Linked DNA regions of Tamandua tetradactyla. The protein of the gene in region 3 interacts with the protein of the main gene of each other region in a pairwise test. Links are inferred from orthologs where the notes say so. Each region holds a gene or a part of one and is shown on either strand. Other genes may lie near its edges.

Region 1 (7,525 bases), on a different chromosome or scaffold from region 3:
ACTGGAAGACATCTGGGTTTTTGTATCAAGGCCAGACTTGGCTATTACATTAACAAGAAAATTAAAACTTACTGTTGCAGGAGCTGGGGTGGGAGGTGGGGCATAAGATGGTCTTTCTGTTTGAAAGAAAATAAATAACTTCTTGTAAACAACTGAGATATAATACTATGCAACAAAACTACCAATGGTCCTGTTTTGAAGGAAAAAAAAATGAGAGTATTTTGGAATTCCCACTTGCTAGGGCATTAGTCTCTTATTAACATAGATTGATAAATATAAAAATGAAACTTACTTGACATTTTGGAAGATTAAGTTCTCAGTTCCTTAAGAATGAATATGAGACACTAAAATAAAAAAAAAGAAAAAAAAAAGAAAAAAAAAGAGAATCAAAACTCAGCAAGCATAAGAGAATGTTCTCCTAAAGAATAGGGTTGTTTAATTGGTATCTTTGAGTAAAATTACTTTAAATTATCTTCAAGTAATCAAGATTTTTTCATATTTTACGCATTCTTGTAGGACACTTGGTTGATCAGAATTAAATGACTAAGAAAAATTACTGAGGATATTAAAAGTAATGTTAGACATATACTTTCAGGTCTGTTCTTATGATAGAGCCAGCGTTTGTATGGAAAACATTTTACTGTTGCCATGTAAACATTTAATCAGATTGATAAAAAGATAATGACAACAGAATGTGATGAACTATCAGGGCCCACTGGATACTGACAATTCTCCTGATCAGCAGGTTATACTTTTGCTTTTAAGATAACTTTCATTAAAGTAGCACAGCAGTTTATTCCTGGAGGCAGTGCAGAAGGTAACTGGTACAATAATGAGCCTTAACATTCTCTAATAAAGGTAAATATCTTCATAACTGGGAATAAATTTTGAGAATCTACCTGAAAACCCTTCTTTATCCCTCACAACCCATTTCAAAATTTATCTCCTCAATGGAGCTTTCTTGATGAAAGATCTGGGCAGAATTAATTGCTCCCTTGTCTGAATTCCTTTCCAGTTTGCAAATATCTACCAATTGTTTATTTATCATATATATATATTTTTTACCTGCCAACATGGATGGTGTGCGTATTATATGCAGAATACTTGGCAAAATTCTTCATAAGTTTTGCCCTAGTATTGCCAGCTCATATGACCATACTCACATGAGCTTGTTTCTTACATCAACATACATCACCAATAACGTAGTATGAAGAAACATTCATTTTTAGAAAAAAGGCAAATCAACTTCTATGACCACTGGACACTTTCATCCAACATTAGGTGCAACAAACATGTTTGGTCCTAGTGTGCATTTTAGGGGAATCTCCTGGGGTATAAAAAATAAGAGGCCTAGCATATAGAAAGATAAACATTCAATGGCCCAACCTGAGTCTGTTCTTCCTTCCCTTAAAAAGAAAAGACAGGTTGAAACCACCGACTCTGGTGCAAATTTTCTTCCTGCTCTCATTCAGGGAGCTGTCAATACCCAGTAGGCCTTGCTGTGAGAAGCCCTGATGATAACTCCACAAACTCCACTTCATTGTTAATACTTTAAAATCGCTGATCTCTCTTGCTAGACTATAAGTTCTAGCAGTAGGGTTGTACATCTGTCCACCACTAGATTCACCCCGTGCCTGGCCCATGACAGATACTAAGCATTTCAGAATGAATACCTTATACGGGACAGACTTATTACCTATATCAGACCATCTCGTTCAACAGTCGCAGTATACAAGACGTGTACTGCTATCCCTATTTTACAGATGTAAAAAAGGAAGGCTCAGCGACTTGACGTAACTTGTCTAAAGCCACCCAGCCAGTAGGTGCCAGAGGTAGGTTTCAAACCCAGGCCAGACTGTTTCACAGCTTTTGCTCTTCGCTCCAAGTCACACAGTGGGTCCTCCTCATATTGCTGCCTGAACCAATGAGGACCACCTTTCTGGGGGTAGAGTACGGGCTTGGCTTGCCCCGAGGGCTTCCTCTGAGATAATTTCCTTTAAGTCTGTCGGGAAGGATGCACTTCACCAGCAACATAACTAAGGCGGGGGTGGGGGATGGTGGCGGGGAGCGGTGGGTACGCTCTGACGCTTGGACCTGTTGTGAGGAGGAGTGGACGGGGCAAATTTCACCGCCGAGGAAAAGCCCCAGACGGAACTCCCATCTTCGCTTCGCTAGGCCTCAAAGAGCACAGAATCGGTCCCCAGCCCTAGCCCCTCAGCCAAGCCTGAAACCCCAGCAAGCCCTGAGAACTCAGGGTGCAGCCAGGCGGAGAGACAGAGACTTGTCACCCTCCCGACCCGGTCAGGCCCAGTTTGAAACACTCACCCGCGGGCAGAAGGAGCGCCCGCAGCTCCGGCTAGGCTTCCCTTTGTCCCACGCACGCCCCGCCCCTCGCGTCCGGAGCTTCCGCACTCGCACTTTCGACACTTTTCTTAATTTCTCTCCAGCTTTCCCCCGACTCTCCTTAGAAAAGTAATCCTAATGGTGAGGGCGCGGGGATACTTAGTGCCATCAAGAATTTTTTTTCAGGCCGCATTAGTTCCTCAAAACTCACGAATTTCGGTATTTTCTCGGCTAGGCGCCGATTCGTCACGACGGAGAGGGAGAAGTTTGCCCGACCACGGGATAGGCCGGGATTTCGCGGTCGGGAGGAACAGAAGCGGCTTCGGCGACAGGTGACGCGGCGGGAGCTGCAAAGCTGTGCCACAGGGAGGTGGGGGACGTGGCCTCAGCAGCCACGCTTCGAAGACAGCGGGAATCGCGCTAAGGCGTGAGACCCCGGAACCACCGTTGCCAAGTGGGCCGCGCCTGGCTGGGGCCGCGTCCGTCCCCGCCCCCGTGTTCCTCCCCCACCCTCCGCCCGGGTCCTCTTCCTTCTCTCTGGGCAGGAGCTGTGCATCTTAGCACGCCGAGGGTGGAGGCGGGAAGGACTGGGTTCACAGAATTTTCCTTCTCACAGGCGCCTCGCACGGCTTTCTACTTTAACAGCCTGGCATTATCCTTGATGAAAAGCAGTATGGAGTTTTTCAGTTATCCAAGCGCTTTTATGGTGTAAGTGCCACAGTTCCCCGAGGCAAGGCCCGGACGCGGTAAGCCGCGCAGTGTCCCCGTTGCCACTAGTAACTGCCTCAACCTGTCTTGGTTAATTCGGTTCACTCAGCCGGGAACTATTGTCGCCACTTTAAGTTTTAACCTCATTTATCCTTCCGGATGCGGCTCACAGGTCACTTTGTGATGCCCTACTGAAACTTTCTCCCCAGTAATCCTTTTTCTGTGCACCCATGGCACAGAGAAAGATAAAAAAAATTATAAGATTAAAAGCTTATCATTATTTGATGATAATTTTATTGTAATCGTCCACCTGACTTTTTCTTTTCTTCTTCTTCTTCTTTTTTTTTTTTTTTTTTTTATCAGTTTGTATTTAACTCCAGCGCATTACGAGGGCATTGAAAGCAAAGGTCCAGGCGTCTGCATCAATCATCTTGAACTATTATTAGATACTCAGTAAACATATACTCAGGCAGATTTCTAATCTAGTCCAGGGCTCTTTTCACTAAATAATGAGTAAATTGGCTTACCATGTGGCGTGAATAGCCCCTTCCTTGTGAATATAAATATCTATTTTTGCTGATGTTGTGGCCACTGTGGAGGAAGAAGGAACAGATGGGATCCTTCCTTATCTGTAATTACTTTGAAAACAGTGTTGCCATTAAGAGTGTATGAATTCTTGCTCTGCTCTCAGAATCCACACTGGGTGTGCTGGCAGGGACCGGGCATCTCTGGAAGGCTGCAAAGCCAGGGACTCATGAAACTGTGCAATTCTTCCACCTCTAATAATTTTATGTTAGTGACTAAAGATCAGTGAAATTGAAGATGTATTGAAAGGAAGGCTTAAAGGTGAGGGCCTGGAAGGATAGATAACAAGCAGCCTGAGTGGTGCTTGAGATAATATATATAAATTGATTTTTTAATGTAAAAGCATCAGAGACATGTAAAGGAGTATTCTGAGACACATGAAGCCCATCCCAATGTCTTGTTTCTCTGGCCTTGACCAGCAACTCCGCCTGGTTTCTTCACTGCCTTTAGGATTATAGTCAGGGGATTGGGCAGGTATAATGCTGGGACAGATGTTCAATTGTATTATCTCTAAGCAGGCCTCTGAAGAAAAATTGCAGATGCTGGATGTTAGAAACAAAGCGCACTGTAGTGTGAGAACGGTGGCACAAAAATGGTGGGAAGAAAAAGGAGGGTATCTGGGTAGAGCAGTGACATTGACTGATCACTTTCTTACCTCCTGGTCTTTGCTCAAACTGACCTATTTAAAATTGCGACTTGTTCCCCCACCCCCCTACTCCTTATTTATCATCTGTGCTTAATTTTTTTCTACAGTACCTATCACTGCCCAATATACTGTATTTTTATGTAGTTATTTTTGTTGTTGTTTTTGTCCTTCCGTTGGAATGAAATCTCCTTGATCAAGGGTAGAGACATCTATCTGACTAATTTTGTTCATTGCTAAACTCTGATATCTGGAACTGTGTGGGGTAAATATAGGTGCCAATATTTGTGAAATGAATACATGAATAGCTATTCAGTTTTTCCCCCTTTAGTTCTTTCTCTCTTGAAGATTTACAAAGTTAAGAAAAGAAGAAATAGGCAACAAAAGATAATAGAAAAAAATATTTTCCTAGTCTTGAAGAAATTAAGGCTGAAGAGTGAAATATCCAGCAAGGTGGACTGTACTTAACACTGACTTTTATAGGCACTAATAAGTCCACCATTGTTATAGGCAAATGGTGGAATTTGCTCATTTTCTCAGCCGTTTCTGTGAAAGCAGGAGTCACAGGAATTTGTTTTCTATCGCTGGAAGTAATTGTGAAATGTTGAAGCCCTGTAGCTTTCAAGGACAGAGTAATTCACAATGTTCTATAGAATTTGACAAAAAATGTGGTATGCTTTTACAACTTTCCTTATCCCCTCAATACCTTGATTTGGGGCATGATTTTTGATACATGATTGGAAAGAGATGAAAATATTTGAAAATGGAATGGTGCTAGTCCTGGGAAATCTGGGGTCGGGGTCTCTTAACCACAGATAATCCACAAATATCTGTTGATCTTATTGAGAATCTAGGATCGGGTTCAACAGACTACAGCTGCAGGCCAATCCGGGCTGCATCCTATTTTTGTAAATTGTTTTATTGGGACATAACCATGCCTATTCATTTCCATATCGTCTGTGGCTCATTTGGGCTACCAAGGCAGAGTTGCATGGTTCCTACAGGGACTGCATGGCCCGCAAAGCCTAAAATATTTACTGTCCTTTCACAGAAAAGGTTTGCTGACTCCTGGTTTATAATTTAAGAGTGTGGGAACATTGGAAAGGACTTGTCCTGATTTGCACATATGCCTTATTTTGAAATGTTTATTTTTAGTATGTCCATGAATATTGGAAATCTTTGTGAACCTGCTGGCCATAACTTGTTAACATAGAGCCAAATTCTGCCTTGTGTACAGAGATTCCTTTGATTTCATGTGTTAATAATATCAGTAATTTGTATATACATATTAGTTAACAAAGTTTAACTTTGGTCCAGGTGCCATACTTATTTCTATTTGAAACTTTCAAATTAATTTAGTTTTTTTTTTTACTTTAGAGAACATTTTTGTATTTTAAAAAGTGTCATGGAAGAAGTTTAATTCACTGGAAAAGAACATTTCCTGTCAACAATTGAAGAATTAGAACTACTGTCTTTATCTATGTTACTTATCATTGCCAGCTATAATTGTCCTCACAAATTCTTTACTCCCAAAGACAATTTTCATCCACATAGTATTGTATATTTGAGTAGTGCTTTACAAAATATTTTCATATGTGTATTATTTCAGACAACTCTGTGATGTGGGCAGGGTAGGAATTATTATCAGGTATCACCTTTTCCTTTGTTTTCGGGTATACAAATTGAGGTCTGGGGAACTTAGAGTGATTCCCTCTTGCTTATATGGCTAACTAGTAACTGTAGTTAACCTAGCCCTCTAGAACCTGGGCTAGAATTTTACAATGTTAGTAATCGAAATTAACTCCTTATTATATTTTGTTATGGAAGTGTGCATTTGAAATATTTTAGCGAGATGGAAGAATATTAATTTCTATTCACTTATAAAATGAGGATAATATGTGCCTCATGGGACTGTTTTGAGGATCAGAGATTATGTTTGAGCCCACTGAGCATGTGCCTAGAGCATAGTACACACTTTGCAAATAGTATGCTGTTGTTATATTTTCTCCAGGACCATGGGATTTCTTTGATTTTTTTTAGGCTGAAGTACCAATATATCATTCTTGTGTAAAAACCATTATCTACTATGATGGAATTTTTCTTTTGTACTCAAATGAGCTAACCATATTGAAGCAATTGATTCTTTGTTTTGCTTAGACATGCAGAGATACTTACTTTGTGTTTTCTTTTGAATGGGCAGGCACTGGAAATCGACCCGGTCTCTGGCATGGCAAGCAAGAACTCTGCCTGCTGAGCCACTGCGGTCCCAGAGATATTTTTGAATTAAAAGAAGTGTATGAAACTCAAATACAATGCAGCTTTAGAATTCAAGTTTAATTTTTTTTATCTTAGTGGTATAATTTACTTTGGCAAATTCATATTCCAATTTAAAATGTCTCAAAGCAAACAAAACGTTGTTATAAACTCAAGTATTGTTAAATGTACCTGTTATACACACAATAGCTGCATAGTGGAATTACTATAATAAGCGGTTACATTCATGATGTCCAGTTCTAAATTTTTAACACTGCATGAAGATTACACTAGACATACTGCTTTATTACAATTACTGTTGCTTAGTATAGTAACTTTAGTACAATAGGTTTTATGATTGCATTTTTTAAACCTTTAATAAAGTTAGTAGCATTTAACGAATACTGAATGAAAACAGTTGTGTGTATAGAATGTATTTTAAGTCAAATACTTAGGCAAGAATAAGCTCTTAACATATCTTTGACAACACAAATCATTTCATATTTACTAAAGATAATAAGTCAGGCTTAAAGGAGTCTGAAGTCATTGAAAGAAAATTTAAAATTTTATATCCCTGTAATATGTTAAGGGTTATTTAACATAATTTTCTTCTCGTTAAAACTTACATTATTTTTCTGGTTGAAATGAAACTAAGAAAGAGAAGGCTGTATTAGAATGCTGACTTAACTTTAGCCCTTAGATGATACTTTAGCTGGAAAATAGAATGGCGAGTTGTACTCAACTAGTTTTTCTGCTAGAAAAAAATTGATAACCTATGAATTTCTGATGTTTTAAAACAGGTGTTTATTATTTAAGGTCTTAAAATAAAAATACCTTATTAAACAAATTAATAAGTTTTTTTAAAAACTTTGCAACAATACTTCACTTATTCACAAATATATTTTCTATCCATATATATTACAGTTTGAACAATTTAAAAACACAAATCCTTCAGATATTCTTAGTGTACATAACAAGACTGTTGTCTTAGTT
Region 2 (7,402 bases), on a different chromosome or scaffold from region 3:
TGGCTCCCTTTTTCCATAGCTGAGACCAGAAGCCAACAGGTACGCATTTTGTCTGTTGCCTTTGCCCCACACCCCACCCAAAGCCAATAATTGATACTGGCCACATCCAATTAACAAGGCATGTCTGGGCCCAGCCCCCTTAAAGCTTGTGCTTGTGCTATAGCTTGTTTGGACTTTTCAAAAGCAGCCTTCTGTGGGGTATCTAATTCCCCAAACCTTCCTTGCAAACCAGAGTATACAAATGTTTTAAAATTTGTGGCAAATGAAATATAAATGGTCTTCAACATCCCAATAAACCAAGAAAAGCCATTAACTGCTTAACAGTGTATGGAGTGGGGTAGTTCTGTACTTTTTCAACAGCAGCAGAATAGTTTTATTCTTACCTGACCAGGCAATACCCAAAAATTTGACAGAGCATCTGGGTCCCTGTAGCTTATTTCAACTTACCACCCATTCCCAGCTTTCAAAGTGGGTCACCACTAGGTTAGCAGAGGTTTCTAGTTATGAAAAAGAGTTAATGGTTTGCATAACATCATTCATGTAATGGAAAAAAGTTATATTTTCAGGGGATTTCCATGTTTTCAGGTCTTGAGCAACTAAACCATGACAAATAGTAGGACTATGAAAATACCCTTGGGGCAACACAATAAATGTCCACTGTTGTCCTTCCCACATGAAGGCAAATGCAAATGGCTGGAGAGACCTAAAGAGGCACTGAAGAAGGTATTAACAAGGGTTAATACAAAATGAAATTGGCCTGAGTACTTACAACCTTTAACAAAATACCAATGTTTGGCACACCTGCAAATAAAGGAGGAACTACTGTATTTAGTTGTCTATAGTCATTTATCATTCACCAAATTCCATCAGGTTTCTTTACTGGCCAGATAGGGCAATTAAAATGGCTGTGAGTAGAAATGATAGTACCCACTCTTTGTAATTTCTTAATAGTGGCAGTGATTTCTTGATGGCCCCTGGGCAACTTACACTAATGCAGTGCCACAGTGCTTCTGGGGGAAGGTACTTTCACCTGTGACTACTTAACATATCTTCTCAGGATGTTTGGACCACTCTGTACCTGTTTTAGTTTGTTAAAACTGCCAGAATCAATATTCCAAAACCAGAATGGTTTTTTAAAAAGGGAATTTATTAAGTTGCAAATTTACAGTTCTAAGGTCATGAAAGTGTCCAAATCAAGGCACCAACAAGAGGTTACATTCAGTCAAGAAAGGCTGATGCCATCTGGAACACCTCTGTCAGCTGGGAAGGCACATAGCAACGTCTGCTAGTTTTCTCTTTTGGCTTCTCATTTCATAAGGATTCCTCAGGGGTGTTTTCCTTCTGCATCTTCAAAGGTTTGGCTGTGTGGATTCTCTTGGCTCTGAAACTTCTTCCAAAATGGTTCCCTCTTAATGGTCTCCAGTAAGTGTCTCCACCTTGAATGGGTGGCAATGCATCTCCATGGGAACCACCTAATCAAAAGGTACCACCCACAACTGGGTGGGTCACATCTCCAGGGAAACATTAAAAAAGATCCCACCCAGCAATACTGAATGAGGATTAAAGAACATGGCTTTTCTGGGAGTACATAATAGCTTTAAACCAGTACAGCACCAGAGGCAGAATTCACTTATGGTACTTTGCAAGATAATATTTTGCTAGATATCAATTACTAATATATATACTCTTGGATAGGAGATATATGTATACCATATATGTTTGAGGTGGTAATTGGCCAGCTTGCATTAATAATTGCTGCTGAGTTGCTTCAATGCCTTCGCCCATGTATCCAGCAATGGTTAGTGTAGGGCTCCCAGTTTGTGGCCGTTGCCCATATATTAAGGTACATTCCACTTCATTGTCTACTAAGCCCAAAACTCTATGCTCATTAGTGGGGGAGTCATTTCTATATGTGGCCTCTGATCCCCAGTGTCCCCATATATTTTTCTTGGGGATCTTGACCTATCTCCTATGCAAGGGGGAAGGGGGCCTTCCAGACCTCCTGGGTCAGGGGGCGGAGGGTTCTTTAGGTGGTGTTGGCTGAGTCTTTGAGCCAGAATCCATGTTCTCCTCTAGTGACCTGGTTTCAAGCTTAGTAAACCTCTGCTCCTTGGACCACTTGCTCCACAGTCCAACTGATACTCCATTTGGCTGCCCATCAATATCCTCAATTTAGTTTCAGCATCTATTAGGTATGTCTACATTTGTCTGTTTGACACCTGGTTCAGACCATCATGTCCCCTTGGGATTTGACCCATAGCTCTGACTTGAGCTCCCCTCTGCCTTAGGCGATCTGTCTCTCCCAAGTGTGCAATCATTTGGGTAGCCTGTGAGATGGGCTGTCCTATAAGTGGGCACCAAAGTCCCCTATCACTATTGGGATCAGTATGTAGAATTGTCTTGTTAATTCCTGTAGCATAAATTACACTCTCTGGTCCAATGGCACCCAGCATTTAAATTGCATGTTTCATCCCAAGCTCCCTTAATACATCGTGTAGTTCATCAGTGGTGTTCCAGTGGGGGTTGCAATGGGGCAGATCCCCCTCAATGGGCCACACCTTCTGTACTGTAATATAAGCCAATTAAATAGCAAATTTGTTTCCATTTTGGGGGCAAATGAATACATGCATCGACACAGAGAAAGATAGGTGGTGAGAGAGGACAATTTACTCATCTCATGCCCAGAGAGCAGTAAACCATAGGCACCAGTGTCCCACAATTGCAGTTTCCAATTTGATAAAAGTTCTTTAGGTTTTTGTCTATACTAAGTCCCAATCTCTTGTAATTCAGAGCTGGTAGAATCTTGCACTGTAACATGTATTTTTTTGCTGGCCCAGATGGGTTCTGACTTAACCTTATGTAACTTCTTCCTCCTTACCCTAGTGCAACAATATGCTAATATTTCCAATTTTCATCTGCTTGGCATAGCCTCTCATTTAAAGCATCTTTCCTCTCCACTTGGACCACCCTCCCATCCATGTCTAATTTAGGTTCCTATTCTAGGGGGTGACTACCCCTCCGCTGTCAAGGCCTCTTCCATAGCTGTTTGCATGGCCTCCAAGAACAGCCAGGCCACAGCTGCAGCAGCCCAGCAGCTTTCCTTTTTCTTATGAAATCCCAACTGTACTGTGGCCTGTTACAGCAGGATTTTTAGTCCAGCTGGGGAGTTACAAGCACCTCCATACTTCTTCCGCGACTCCCATTCATCCAGAACAGTACGCACCTGCCTCCACATGCCTGTTGCAGGCCATCCTGGGAAGTCTCTTTTCCCAGTACTTCTGCCTTTCATCTTGCAGCTTTTTGGTTTCCTGGCTGGCTCGCCAAATATTCAAACCCAACTCCACATCAAGACCAAAGAACACACTAGACAAAGAGTTACCAATGAATTTTAATTAGGGACTTAGAAGATTTTTCCCCATGAGCACATCAGTGACCTGCACAAACAAGAGGAAGGGAGCAATTTACAAAGTCCAGCTGAGTCTGGCTGAAATTTAGTTACCTAGGGGTGTCAGCAGTCTCCGGAGAGCTGGTTACCTACAGCGCTTAGGGAACGGGAGTTTTAATGCTTTCACAATACATTCTTCACCCTTTCAGGGGTGGGTCTGTTGACCTTTAATGTCTGTGCTCTGGTCAAGCTGGTTACTACTCAAGGCTTCATTTCTTACTAGCTTGCCACCCCCCAGACCCCATCCGCGCGGAGCCTGGCGGGGAAGATCGGACAGTGTCCGCGCGCCTGTCCGGGAGCCCCAGGAACGCCCTTCCCCGGGGCCGGCCGCCCAACGGGCAACAATCTCTCCCCCACCCCAGCTGCCTGAACCCTCCCTCGCGCGCGCCGTCCCCCTTGGCCCCGCACCCCTTCCCGCCGCGGGACCACCTCGCCCCGCCGCGCCCCTGCCCTCCGCCTAGCGCCCTCCGGGACTGCCCATCTCCCCTTCTCCTCCTCCCTCCACCCTCCTCCACGCCTCCGCCTCCCTTCCCGCCCCCTCCACGCTCCCTCCCTCACCTTGCCCCACCCCGGCTCGTCGCTGCCCCCTCCCACCTCACCCCTCGCCCGCTCCCATCGCCCTGCCCCTCTCCGCCTCTTCCCGACGCGTCCCGGGTCGCCACCTGCCCTGTTCTCTCCTCTGCCGGCGACCGCTCTTCTCCGGCCGCCTCCACCTCTTCTCTCGCTGCCCCCGGACCGCCCCTTCCTGGCGCGCTCAGCCCCTTTCCCGCTTTCCCCGCCCCCACAGGCCGGGCCCCGCCTTCCCAGGGGCGGGGCGCGGGGGAGCCAGGCGTCGCGGCGGCTGAGTGGGGCGCGCCTGCGGGCGTGGTGGGCCGAGCCGGGACCCGCCATTGGCAGAGGCTGCATTCCCCGGCCGTCAATCACGTCGTCCGGCCTGTCCCCGCCTCCGCCGGGCAGCGTCGCGGGACGTAGCGTGCCGCGGGGGCTGCCGGGACAGCTCTAAGATGGCCGAGATCCTCCGTTCTCCCTCAGCTTGCGACCCAGTGCCCCATTCATTACCTCACTGCTGAAAGGCGCCCCGCCGCCGCGAGCCGGGCCCAGGGCTCCGGGGGCTGCCCCGCGGGACGGGAGGCCGCCATGGCGACCCTGGAAAAGCTGATGAAGGCTTTCGAGTCCCTCAAGTCCTTCCAGCAGCAGCAGCAGCAGCAGCAGCCGCCGCCGCCGCCGCCGCCGCCGCTGCCGCCCCAGCCTCCTCAGCCGCCGCCGCTCCAGCCGCCACCGCAGCCGCAGCCGCCGCCGCTGCCGCCCAGCTCGGCGGTGGCTGAGGAACCGCTGCACCGACCGTGAGTGTCGGGGCCCGGAGCGGCGGGCCTGCCGCTGCCTCCCCTCCCGGGGCGGGACCTCCCGGTGACAGCCTGGGGGCAGCAGCATCTGTGTCGCCGGCCAACCCCTGACCCCGCCGCGACGGTGGTGGCGGCGCAGCCTTGTCCCCGAGCCCGGGCGCGTAACTCCCGGGAGAGAGAAACTCGCGCTTTCCTGATGGGAGAGCCGAGTCCGGGCCTCGGGTTAGCATGTTCTGTCCCCTCCGGGTCCCCCCGCTGGGCTCTCCGTCATTCTGGGAAGGGAGGTAGCGGTTTCTTGGGGCTCCTCCCGAATTCACCGAGGGGGCCAAGGCCCCAGTCCTCTCGCCTTGTCCCAGATGCCAAGAGTTAGGGAATGAAATAGTTTTTCTTTGCGCGAAACGGGGAGGGGGGGTTGCGCGGCTGTGTTTTGATGGTGGGAATTTAGAAGAGCGCAGGTTGCGACCCTTTTGGCTTCCTCCCTTCTCTCTTCTGACTTTGAGAGGAGGAGGGCTGTGGGTGCAGGCGTTCGAGAAGAGCCAGGACTTGGAGCTGGGGGTGATGCGGGGATAGTGGATGACATAATGCTGTTATGGGCCGGAGTGGTTGGGGGAAGGCGGGGGACTGAGGACGTCGTCCAATGGGAGAGCCTTTTTCAAAGTGGTGCTCGAGAGAGCCCGACTTGAGTCTCTGTTCCCAAATTCCCAAGACATTTCATTTAGTTCCTGAGTCCTAGTGGTAGCGACGTGGTTTAAAGCGTCACTGAACAGGCCTGCTAATCTAAGCTCAGGTGTGGGTCTGCAGACATTTGATTAAACTGTGGTTGCCAAGTAAGTGATGAGGTAATTAGATGATGGTTATTAACAAATGAGAAATAATAAAGTTGATTTAAATATTAAGAAAAGTTGGCTGAAGTTTATCACCTGTTTTCTGTTGGCAATAAAGAGGACACGTTGCTGAGGGTGGGTGAATGAGGTGTACATTTCGCTGGTATTGTCCTCAGGCTTGTAGAACCTGGGGTGTCTGTAGACTCCAGGGATGTCTTTTGCAAGCCGGTGAAAGAGCTTCCTTGATGACAGGCTTGTGTTATCTGTAAGCCAGGGATCTCTGCTGCTTGTGTGTGGGGAGAATTTTTGAACCAGAAGAAGAGAAACACCTTCTAAGAAAACCCAGGAAGTCTTTCTGCTCTTAGCGATTAACAGAGGTTAGGGAGCACCCTTCAGGCATTTTATTTCTTACCTGAATGTGTACACATGATGGCATTTAATAGGTACAGTTTTCAAGACGCAGCCCCTTAAAGAACCTCATTGATTCATTTTTAGTAAAGTTTTCTTGCACTTTCTGTTTCTGATATGATCCCTTCTGTGTCCTGAGAGTTTCATTAGAAACTGAGGAAATAGGATGGACAGGAATATTTACTTATTCCTTCTTCTGAAGAGTGAAAACTTGTTTGGGTATCTAAGGAAACTTTTAAACAGTTTGCCTTATCACTGTAGCAGGTAATTTATAACCAAATCCATTTCCATCTTTTATTTTATTGCTTCTCTAGGAGGTAGGTATCATGGAAATTTGTACTTTGCTTGTATCGGGAAACACTAAGCAGGGTTGGGGTTGGGAAGGAAGTCCTTCCTGCTGTCCTCTGGTGTCTTGTTCGAACACTGGGTCAAACTAAAAGTATGCCTTCTGTTTTGTACACTGATTTGACATAGCCTGAATTTGCTTATTTTCAAAATATGGGTATCAAGTGGTATCCTTCTAAAGCTGGCCGTCAAAGTAGGTAGTTTCATTATTTTAAGGTAATACCTGATTGGTTCATTTAAAATTGATTCATTTAATCTGTTATTTTTGCACAGGTAATATATTAATACAATAAAAATTTCAAAATTACTAAAGAGTAATGATTGAAATGCTTTTCTCCTACCCCTTTCTCTTAAGTACCTCACATGACCCCACACACAAGCACTGTTCCACTTTCTTGTGTGACCTTCTATGTGTAAATTAAGATAGACTTTAAATTCTTCAAAACAAAAGTATTTTAGAATAGTAACCTTTTTTCTTCACTTCTATTATTTCGGTTACATTTTAAAAACATTTTTAAATTGTGAAATATAACATATATGCAAAAAAGTAATAAATTACAAAGTGCATTGTAACAGGTAGTTATAGAATAGACTTTAAAGTTTGGTATGGGTTACAGTTCCATAATATCAGCATTTTCCTCCTAGCTGCTCCAAGGCATTGGAAACTAAAAGAAATATCAATATAATGATTCAGCAATCATACTCATTTGTTTAATTCTATCTTCTCTGTTATACTCCATCTTCTCCTTTGATCCTTCTCCCAATTTAGGGTATTTGGGCTATCCCCATTCTAACTTTTTCATGTGGAAAGGGGTGTTGACAGTATGGAATAGGGAGATGAAACTAGCTCATGTTCTTGGAGAGGCTGGCTCCTCTGGACCTATCTGGCCTAGGAACCCTCTGGAGGTTGTAGGTTTCTGGAAAGTAATCTTAGTGCATGAAACTTTTGTAGAATCTCAGATAGAACCCTAGGTGTTCTTTAGGATTAACAGGGGTGGTTTTGGTTGGGGGTTGGCAAACCATGACAATTAGCAATA
Region 3 (7,182 bases):
TGTTTACTAACAATTAGCCACTGGCTATACTTAACTCATCCATACACTTACAATTATTAGTTTGTATGTGTTGACTCTCTAGATTCCTCAGGCCACAGAAACTCTTTTTTTTTTTTTTTCCTGCACAGGCAGGTACCAGGAAATGAACCCGGGTCTCTGGCATGGCAGGTTAGAGCTCTGCCTGCTGAGCCACCGTGGCCTGTCCTACAAACTTTTTAATGTTCACCTTATCTTATGGCACATAATAGGCTTTAAACAAATGCCTGTTGAATAAATGAATGAAAGAAAGCTCACCGAACAGGACTTGGAGCCTCACAGATGTAAGTATAAAGGCCAACACTATCAGCCACCATACCTGGGGAGAGTTCTTCTCTTTGATCCTATTTCCTTCCTATAAAATGTGTAAACACCACCTCTCTTGTAGCACTATTATAAAGATTAGAGATAATGTAAAATTTCAACCTCATTCCATGGCCTAAAACTAGTATTCAATCAATGACAGCTTAATTTTTGTTACTTCCTATCTTTTTACTATTTTCCTTAATTTGAACTAAGTGGGACTCTTTATACATATTATTCATTAAACACATCATCTTTCAGTCTTAACTGATTAGCTGAATATTTTATTTCCCTGTAAACATAAGCAATAGTAGACCATTTATTTGAAAAATATACTGGGTTAACCACTCTTAGAGCAGCTAGTCTATTCTAAAGGAATACAGTCCCCAGGTCCTGTTCTTCTTGTTTTTATGTTAGACTTCTGTGTCATAAATCATATTTTTAATAAGCATTACAAAAGCAACACTTCTGGATTACTTAAGTGAGGCTTAACAAATTCTTTCCAAAGGAGTGTTCCAGATATCAGAAAAGAAAAGAGTATTTCAGGAGCCTGCTGTTCTAAACATAAAAGAAAAAAAGCCAAATATCTTCTGAATATTTTCTAGGTAACCTGGGATAATGTTCCAACGATGGGAGTTTCTAAAAATGGTAAGACTGACTAGCCACAGGCAGAGAAGTAAAAAACATAACTTATATGCCCTTTGGAGGCACTGCTGCTTTTCTATTTCCTACCCCTTCTTACCCATTAACCTCCCATAATTTGTTTACCTTCGGATTTGACGTAGTAGAGAGAACATGGGCTCTAGTTCTGGTATGTCCCTAACTAAGTAAGTTACTTCTCTCTAAGCCACATTTCCCTTCAAATAAAAAGTCAGGCTAGATTCTCTCCAGAGGCTTTTAGAATTAGAGAACTCTAAGGCTTTGATTTCTTTGCCCTACTAGTTTATCTGTCTTCTGATATCCTATCACCACTAGGCCCTGCTAGATGATACTTAAAGCCATCAACTCAGAACAAACCATAACTTACCAGCGGTATTGCAACGTCCTCATAGGGCAGCTTGTCTTCTCGCCAAGCATCATCAATCAAATCCAAGATCCTTCCATCTCTCTGTACCTCACTGTCCATTCTCCTGTAGTTCTGATCTTGTCAGATCTGTAAGTTATAAAGGTAATTTCTTTAATGTGGAGATTTAGGAGATGGGGTATTCTACTATTAGGATTTTGGTACCACACTGCCCTGGGAAAGGCTTACCTTCTCATCTGGGTTAGATGACAATTTTTTATAAAACCAGTACCCACTCTCAACCTTCACCCTCAGCTGATGGATGCTTTATAGTGTATACTGGATATATGTAGCCCAGTTAAGGACTAGTTTCATAGTGTGGCAGGAGGGTGACATAACTGAGAGTATCATCTTCAAGGCCACAGTACATCTAAATGTAATTTCTCTCTCCTAATTTGCACATTCACCTTTCCTGTGATGCCTTTGATGAATCTCTGACTTATAACAGTCTCTTCTCCAGCCTCTCAAGGTTTTTGCACCAAATTTACAAAAGTCTCCATCTGCCTTGGTTCTAATCTCTTGGGCAACACAGGGAAGTAAGACAGCAACGATGAACAATGCAAATTAACTAACCATAGGCGTGACACAAATCCTCAAAGCAAGAAAGATGTCAGCAGTTGAGCTTATAAATGAAACTGCCTCCTTTCTTAAAAACAGAGTCCAGGCTGAGCCCTGAAAGGAGCACCTCCAGGTGAACACCAGTGGCCGGACTCCATGCTGCTCTTTGGGATTCCTTCCCAATTCTTTCTGTTCTCTTTTCAATGCTCCTTAAACATAGCTGCTTCCCCATCTTTTTCTCCCTAACAGCTGCAATCTAATTCAAAGGACTGGCCAGCTCAATAGGTACCTCTGGGCTCCCTTTTTCCAAGTTTAGGTCCTGTCTCCTCACCACAGACACCATTCTACTGTGCTCAGTGTTACAAAGGGGCCATCTTGAAGGCCTGGGGGCCACTGGCTTGGGAACTACTCTGCGACACTCCCAACTTCTGAGGCTATAGATACTCAAACAAGAAACAATCTTTGGGGATAGAATTCAGTTCCTTCACACAGACTTGTGCTTGGCCCTAAAAGTAAGACTACAAGACAGCCCTAATACCTGGATAGTAATTACAGCAGTTGGGGAGGGAGAAGGGTCAAAAGGTGACAGATACTTCTGTCAACAGTGGGCCACCTGAAGGATCTTCCTATTTCACTCAAGAATTAATCCAGTACTACAGGGTGGATAACACAAAACAAGTTGAAAGATCCTGCCTTTAGGATACGTACACACAAGGGCCCCTCGCCCCCAGTTTCAGTTATACTTGTGGAATCCCTGTCCTCCAAGAGCTGCTGCCACTCCACTGTCCTCTTTGCTCTGCTCACTGGAATACCCTCCTCACTCTTCTCCACAGATTCAAAGCTGCTTATTTTCCCGCAACTACACAAATTCCACGTTTTTAGTTTTCTCAAATCACCTCAGTTTCAGTAAGCTTTCTGTCCATATGAGCCACAAAACAAGTTAGGCAGATCAACTCAAATGTTATTGTTTCCAATTATTATATGTACATTTTGTACTAATCACTCCTTAGCACACCTTCTTCAATTTGGCCTCAAACTTTTTTTGACCTGTCTCTGCTCCAAATACCTCCAATCACGCCCCACTGAGACTCTGCCTTAAAGTTGTTTTTTTTTTTTTTTTTTTTTTAACCCCATCACAAACCCTTACTTTTCCTTCCAAATTCAGCTGAGAAGCAGCTCTTTGGATTCAACACAGTTTTAAGGCTGGGAGGACCTCATCCGTATGGTGCTGGGAGAATGGGAAGAATCCAGGACACGGCCACAGTCCCAAGCACCCGCCGCACGTGACAGAAGGAACCACAGGTAGCTTCTAGAACAAATTTCTTTTACTGATATCTTTGTGCCTAGCCACGTGACAATCCCAGAGCCTGGAATGCTCTTTCCTTTTCCTTCCTTCCGGCTAACCCCCAATCAGCCACAAAAACTCAGCATTCCCAAATTGCGGCCTGAGAGCGCCACCCGCCTGCCCACAGGCCCGCTGGGGACAGTGAATAGCTTCAGGCGGGAAGCTTGTCACATTAAGTGCCTATTATATGCGTCTTCCCACACACGTGGTTCGCGCGTCCCCCGAGACAAAGACAGATTTCATTCATTTCTGCCGTTTACAGAACCGTAATGATGTATTCATACGACTAAAGGCGGGAAGGGACTTTGCCTTGTCTAGAAATGACCCTCACAGGCCACCACCACCCGTACCGGCGTGTGGCCGTCCTATAGCCGCGGTTTCCGGCCTAGGCTGGCTATACCAAATGTGGAGATGAGGGGTGGTGCATGTCCTGGGCGGCCACGCAGGCTCCTTTTCACCCGACACAGCGTGCGATAAGGGCAGTGACAACGAGGAAGAAGTGAGGACGTAGCCCTCGGCCGCTGCAGGGTAGGGAGTGGGAGTAGCCAAGACCTGGGCGAGGAGGGCGGGTTACCCTTACCGGTACCGGGTTCGCCGCGGCACCCGTTTCCGCCACGCCACCACCACTGCATCACGTGTTCCATCCGGTCTTCTCTCGCAGATTTCCGGATGTGGGTGAGTCCATTTGCTTGCGCAGAGGGGAAATCAGGAGGACTTTTCAATGAATAGTCAGGGGCCAGTGGGCGGAACGAACGTGCCGACGACAGAGGCAGGACGTAAGGTTGGGGGTGACGCGCGTGCGCGCTTCTGGCCCGAGGTAACGGCGGGAAGGCTCGGGGCGCGCTCGGGGCGCGCTCGCGGCGGCCGCGTAACCGCCTGTGCGCGCGAACTAGTGGGCAGGGTTCGGGCGTCTTGGCGTACAGAGCCCTGGCCTGGTGGTGCCTCGGGCCGTGCGGCCGCATGGCCGGGGAGTGGCTCTCGGAGCGGCCTGCCGGCCAGCAAGCCCACCCTCGCCGGCCCAGGTCCGCTCTCGCAGCCCCCTCGTCGGCCTCGTTACGAGCGCCCTGCGGATCCGCGAGGGCGAACATGGCACCCTCCCGGCGCGCAGGCTAGGCCCGCCTGTTGGTCAGCCCTTCCCGCGAGGCCGGGGGCCGGGGGCGGTGGGCGAGCCGCTCCCCGGTCCCTGTCTTCCCTGCTGGGCCGCCCGCGCGCCCTTTTGTCCTTCTTAGGGGGAAGCACGCACAACAGACCTTGCAGGCCCGAGTATTTGGTTAGAGCTGCCTAACCTTTGTTGTGACTCATTTACCGGAGGTGTTACCGGTTCATTTGTGGCGGGATATTTAGTAACAATTTATAAGTGTTATATTAGCAAAGTAGGTACGGGAATGTGGCAGAAATCGTGAAGGACTGAAGTGGGAAACCTAGAACTAACGGTTGCTCCATGCATGGAGTTAAAAATGGGAACTAAATGATAAAGATAGTGGGTTTAAAAAGGACGTTTCCTTAAAAACACTTTGTGACAATATTGGAAGACAGTACATTTAGGCTCATCATGTGGCTTTTCTATATGCTTACAATATCAGCCTGATGATAGACTACTCTTAATTTATAGAGCACTTATTTGTACTGGGTAGTAGTTCCCGACGCTTTTTGCATCCGATTCCCTAAACCATTCAACAAATTTTATTTTATTCCTTTAATTAAAGGTTAATGTTTTTAACCTTTAATGTAGGGTAGCTGTGCACACTAGCATCTGTTTTATAAGATATGAAGGGGAAATAAGGATCAACTACACATGACTTTAAAATATTTTGCATTTACATTTATAAATAGGTGTAGCTTAAGGATATAATAAAGAGTATGCATTTTCTTAATTTGGAATGTGGTGCGATCTTTTAGAGTAATTTTTATCCTGAATTTTCTGCGATTATCCTGAAAAGGGGGTTGATTTTTTTATATTACTCTCAGTTCCGTTTGTGTCTCAAACATGATTGCTCCTTGCCTTTTGATTATATTGTTATCAGTAATAGGTATGGTAAAAATGGCTGTGAAACAAAATTAGGTCAGAGAGTTATAAACATTCAATCACACCACCCTTTAAAATGTCTGATTAAAATTTAAAAAATTTAAAAATACAATTGTAATAATTGTGTATGTTAATTGTACCAATTCTATTTTCTTCCTATGAAGAGGTAGAAGGTCTTTGCTTAGTCCTTTCCATTCTCATTTGTGTTGTGGAAGTGGTGGCAGTTATCAGTAGGCCACTCTATCAAGAATTCATTCTAATTTTGAAGTTCTGCTAAAGTCTTCATTAACTTAAGGTTTCAGGAATTGAATTTCTGATTTTTATGTTTAAGTTATTTTTTTCTCTAAGAGCTAGGATTTCTTGTTTTTCAGTTTTTCAAAACAGTCATATCACACCTACAAAATCAATAAAAATTCCGTAATACCAATATACTGTCATGTCACATATCCCCAACTGTCCCATAAATGTGTTTTTACGTTTAGTGTGTTCGGATTAAAATCCTGTGAAGATCAAAGTGTTGCATTTGGTTGATATACCTACTTGCACCTTTAAAAAATACGTATCTTTTGAGTCTCTTTTGTAATCTGTAGCAGTTCCCTCTCCTCCCTTTTGCCTGGTCATTCCAGATCTGCGTCCATATGATATCCTTTAACATGGACATTTATTCCCTTTATTTCCTCTAAACTGGTAGTTAGATCTAGAATTGCCCTGTCCAGTGTGATGGTCACTAACCAGCTTAGAAGAAGATTACATTAAAAGTTCAGTTCATTAGCCACATTTCAAGTACACAATAGTAAGATATAAAACATTTCCATAATTGCAGAAAATTCTTTTGAACAGCACCGATCTAGAGGCTTGATCAGATTCATCTTTGATTTTTTTTGGGTGGAGCACAAGAATATTTCATATATGGTTTAGTGTATTTCCTGTTTAGTGCTATTTTCATGCAGGCACACAGTGTCAGAGTTGTCCTATTTGTGATGTAAAGATTGATCATTGGGTTCTGGTGTTGTCAGCCAGACCCATTCATCCAGCATGAACCTCGCCTTGAGTCACCCAGTGATGAAGTTCTCTTGGATTCAGATTGTCTGTACCCATTATTGTATTAGGGACTGCAAAATGTTGGTTTTCTAATTCTATCATTCCTTCTATATTTATTAGCTGGAAAACTTTTATGAAGAACTTTCTCTCATCAGCTATTTGATTATCCTGAATTACAGTTTGTTCAGGAAAGGCAAGAAAAATGCTAAATTTTTTCCCTCTATTTTCAGACTACAGTAATGAGTCGATGCCCTAGCGACCTCCAAAGGTAACCATGAAGGTTTTTGCTAATTTTTTTTGCTATCATCCTCATGAACTCATAGATTTAAGTATATATAAACTCTTTCAATCTATTGAAATCATTATTCTTTTTGATACTCAAATTGTCCTACCTTTGGCCAGTTGGAGCCTCTTTAAGTTGGCTCCTATTCCTCTAGAGGATTCCAGTGGTCTTTGATAATTTCCTTGCTTTCTGGTGCAATAGGTTCCTGGTTCATTTTATACATTTTTGGCCTCCAAAGAGCCCTGTTCCTTTTATTGGGAGATGGTATTTAGAGACCACACAGTCTGGGTGCCAGAGGTGCTTTTGCTGTTAGGTTGGTTTTGGGTTCTAGGATTTACAGTCATTGGAGCTAAGAAATACATTTTTTAAAAGGAAATATAGAATCCATACTAATATTTCCAATGTAAATTTGATTTTACTGTTGTTTTTTCGACTTTGTTTTTTATGAGTTTGATTTAGTATTTGCATTTTTTTCTCTTTTGTTGAAAATCTTGGTACCTAAATTTCGTTAATTTTAATTGCCTTAT

What was found. The genes of interacting proteins can lie anywhere in the genome.
Region 1: the proteins of CEP63 (region 3) and SMARCE1 interact in binary tests that used the Homo sapiens proteins (3 or more experiments, as listed by UniProt). The two-hybrid records come from large-scale screens. The link is inferred for Tamandua tetradactyla from reciprocal best matches to the Homo sapiens genes CEP63 and SMARCE1.
Region 2: the proteins of CEP63 (region 3) and HTT interact in binary tests that used the Homo sapiens proteins (3 or more experiments, as listed by UniProt). The link is inferred for Tamandua tetradactyla from reciprocal best matches to the Homo sapiens genes CEP63 and HTT.

The regions. Positions count from the first base shown.
Region 1 is NC_135332.1:26,726,376-26,733,900, reverse strand, and holds the start of SMARCE1 (SWI/SNF-related matrix-associated actin-dependent regulator of chromatin subfamily E member 1), read right to left. Parts: upstream 3,017-7,525; 5' UTR 2,555-3,016; exon of another isoform or gene 2,464-2,554; 5' UTR 2,326-2,463; intron 2,301-2,325; exon of another isoform or gene 2,053-2,300; intron 345-2,052; 5' UTR 300-344; coding exon 293-299; intron 117-292; coding exon 73-116; intron 1-72. UniProt on the Homo sapiens protein: Involved in transcriptional activation and repression of select genes by chromatin remodeling (alteration of DNA-nucleosome topology).
Region 2 is NC_135345.1:3,103,030-3,110,431, forward strand, and holds the start of HTT (huntingtin), read left to right. Parts: upstream 1-4,386; 5' UTR 4,387-4,582; coding exon 4,583-4,788; intron 4,789-7,402.
Region 3 is NC_135341.1:78,281,877-78,289,058, forward strand, and holds the start of CEP63 (centrosomal protein of 63 kDa), read left to right. Parts: upstream 1-4,181; 5' UTR 4,182-4,265; coding exon 4,266-4,327; intron 4,328-4,552; exon of another isoform or gene 4,553-4,575; intron 4,576-6,602; exon of another isoform or gene 6,603-6,611; coding exon of another isoform or gene 6,612-6,640; intron 6,641-7,182. Other genes in the region: ANAPC13 (anaphase-promoting complex subunit 13), read right to left, coding at 1,367-1,465. UniProt on the Homo sapiens protein: Required for normal spindle assembly.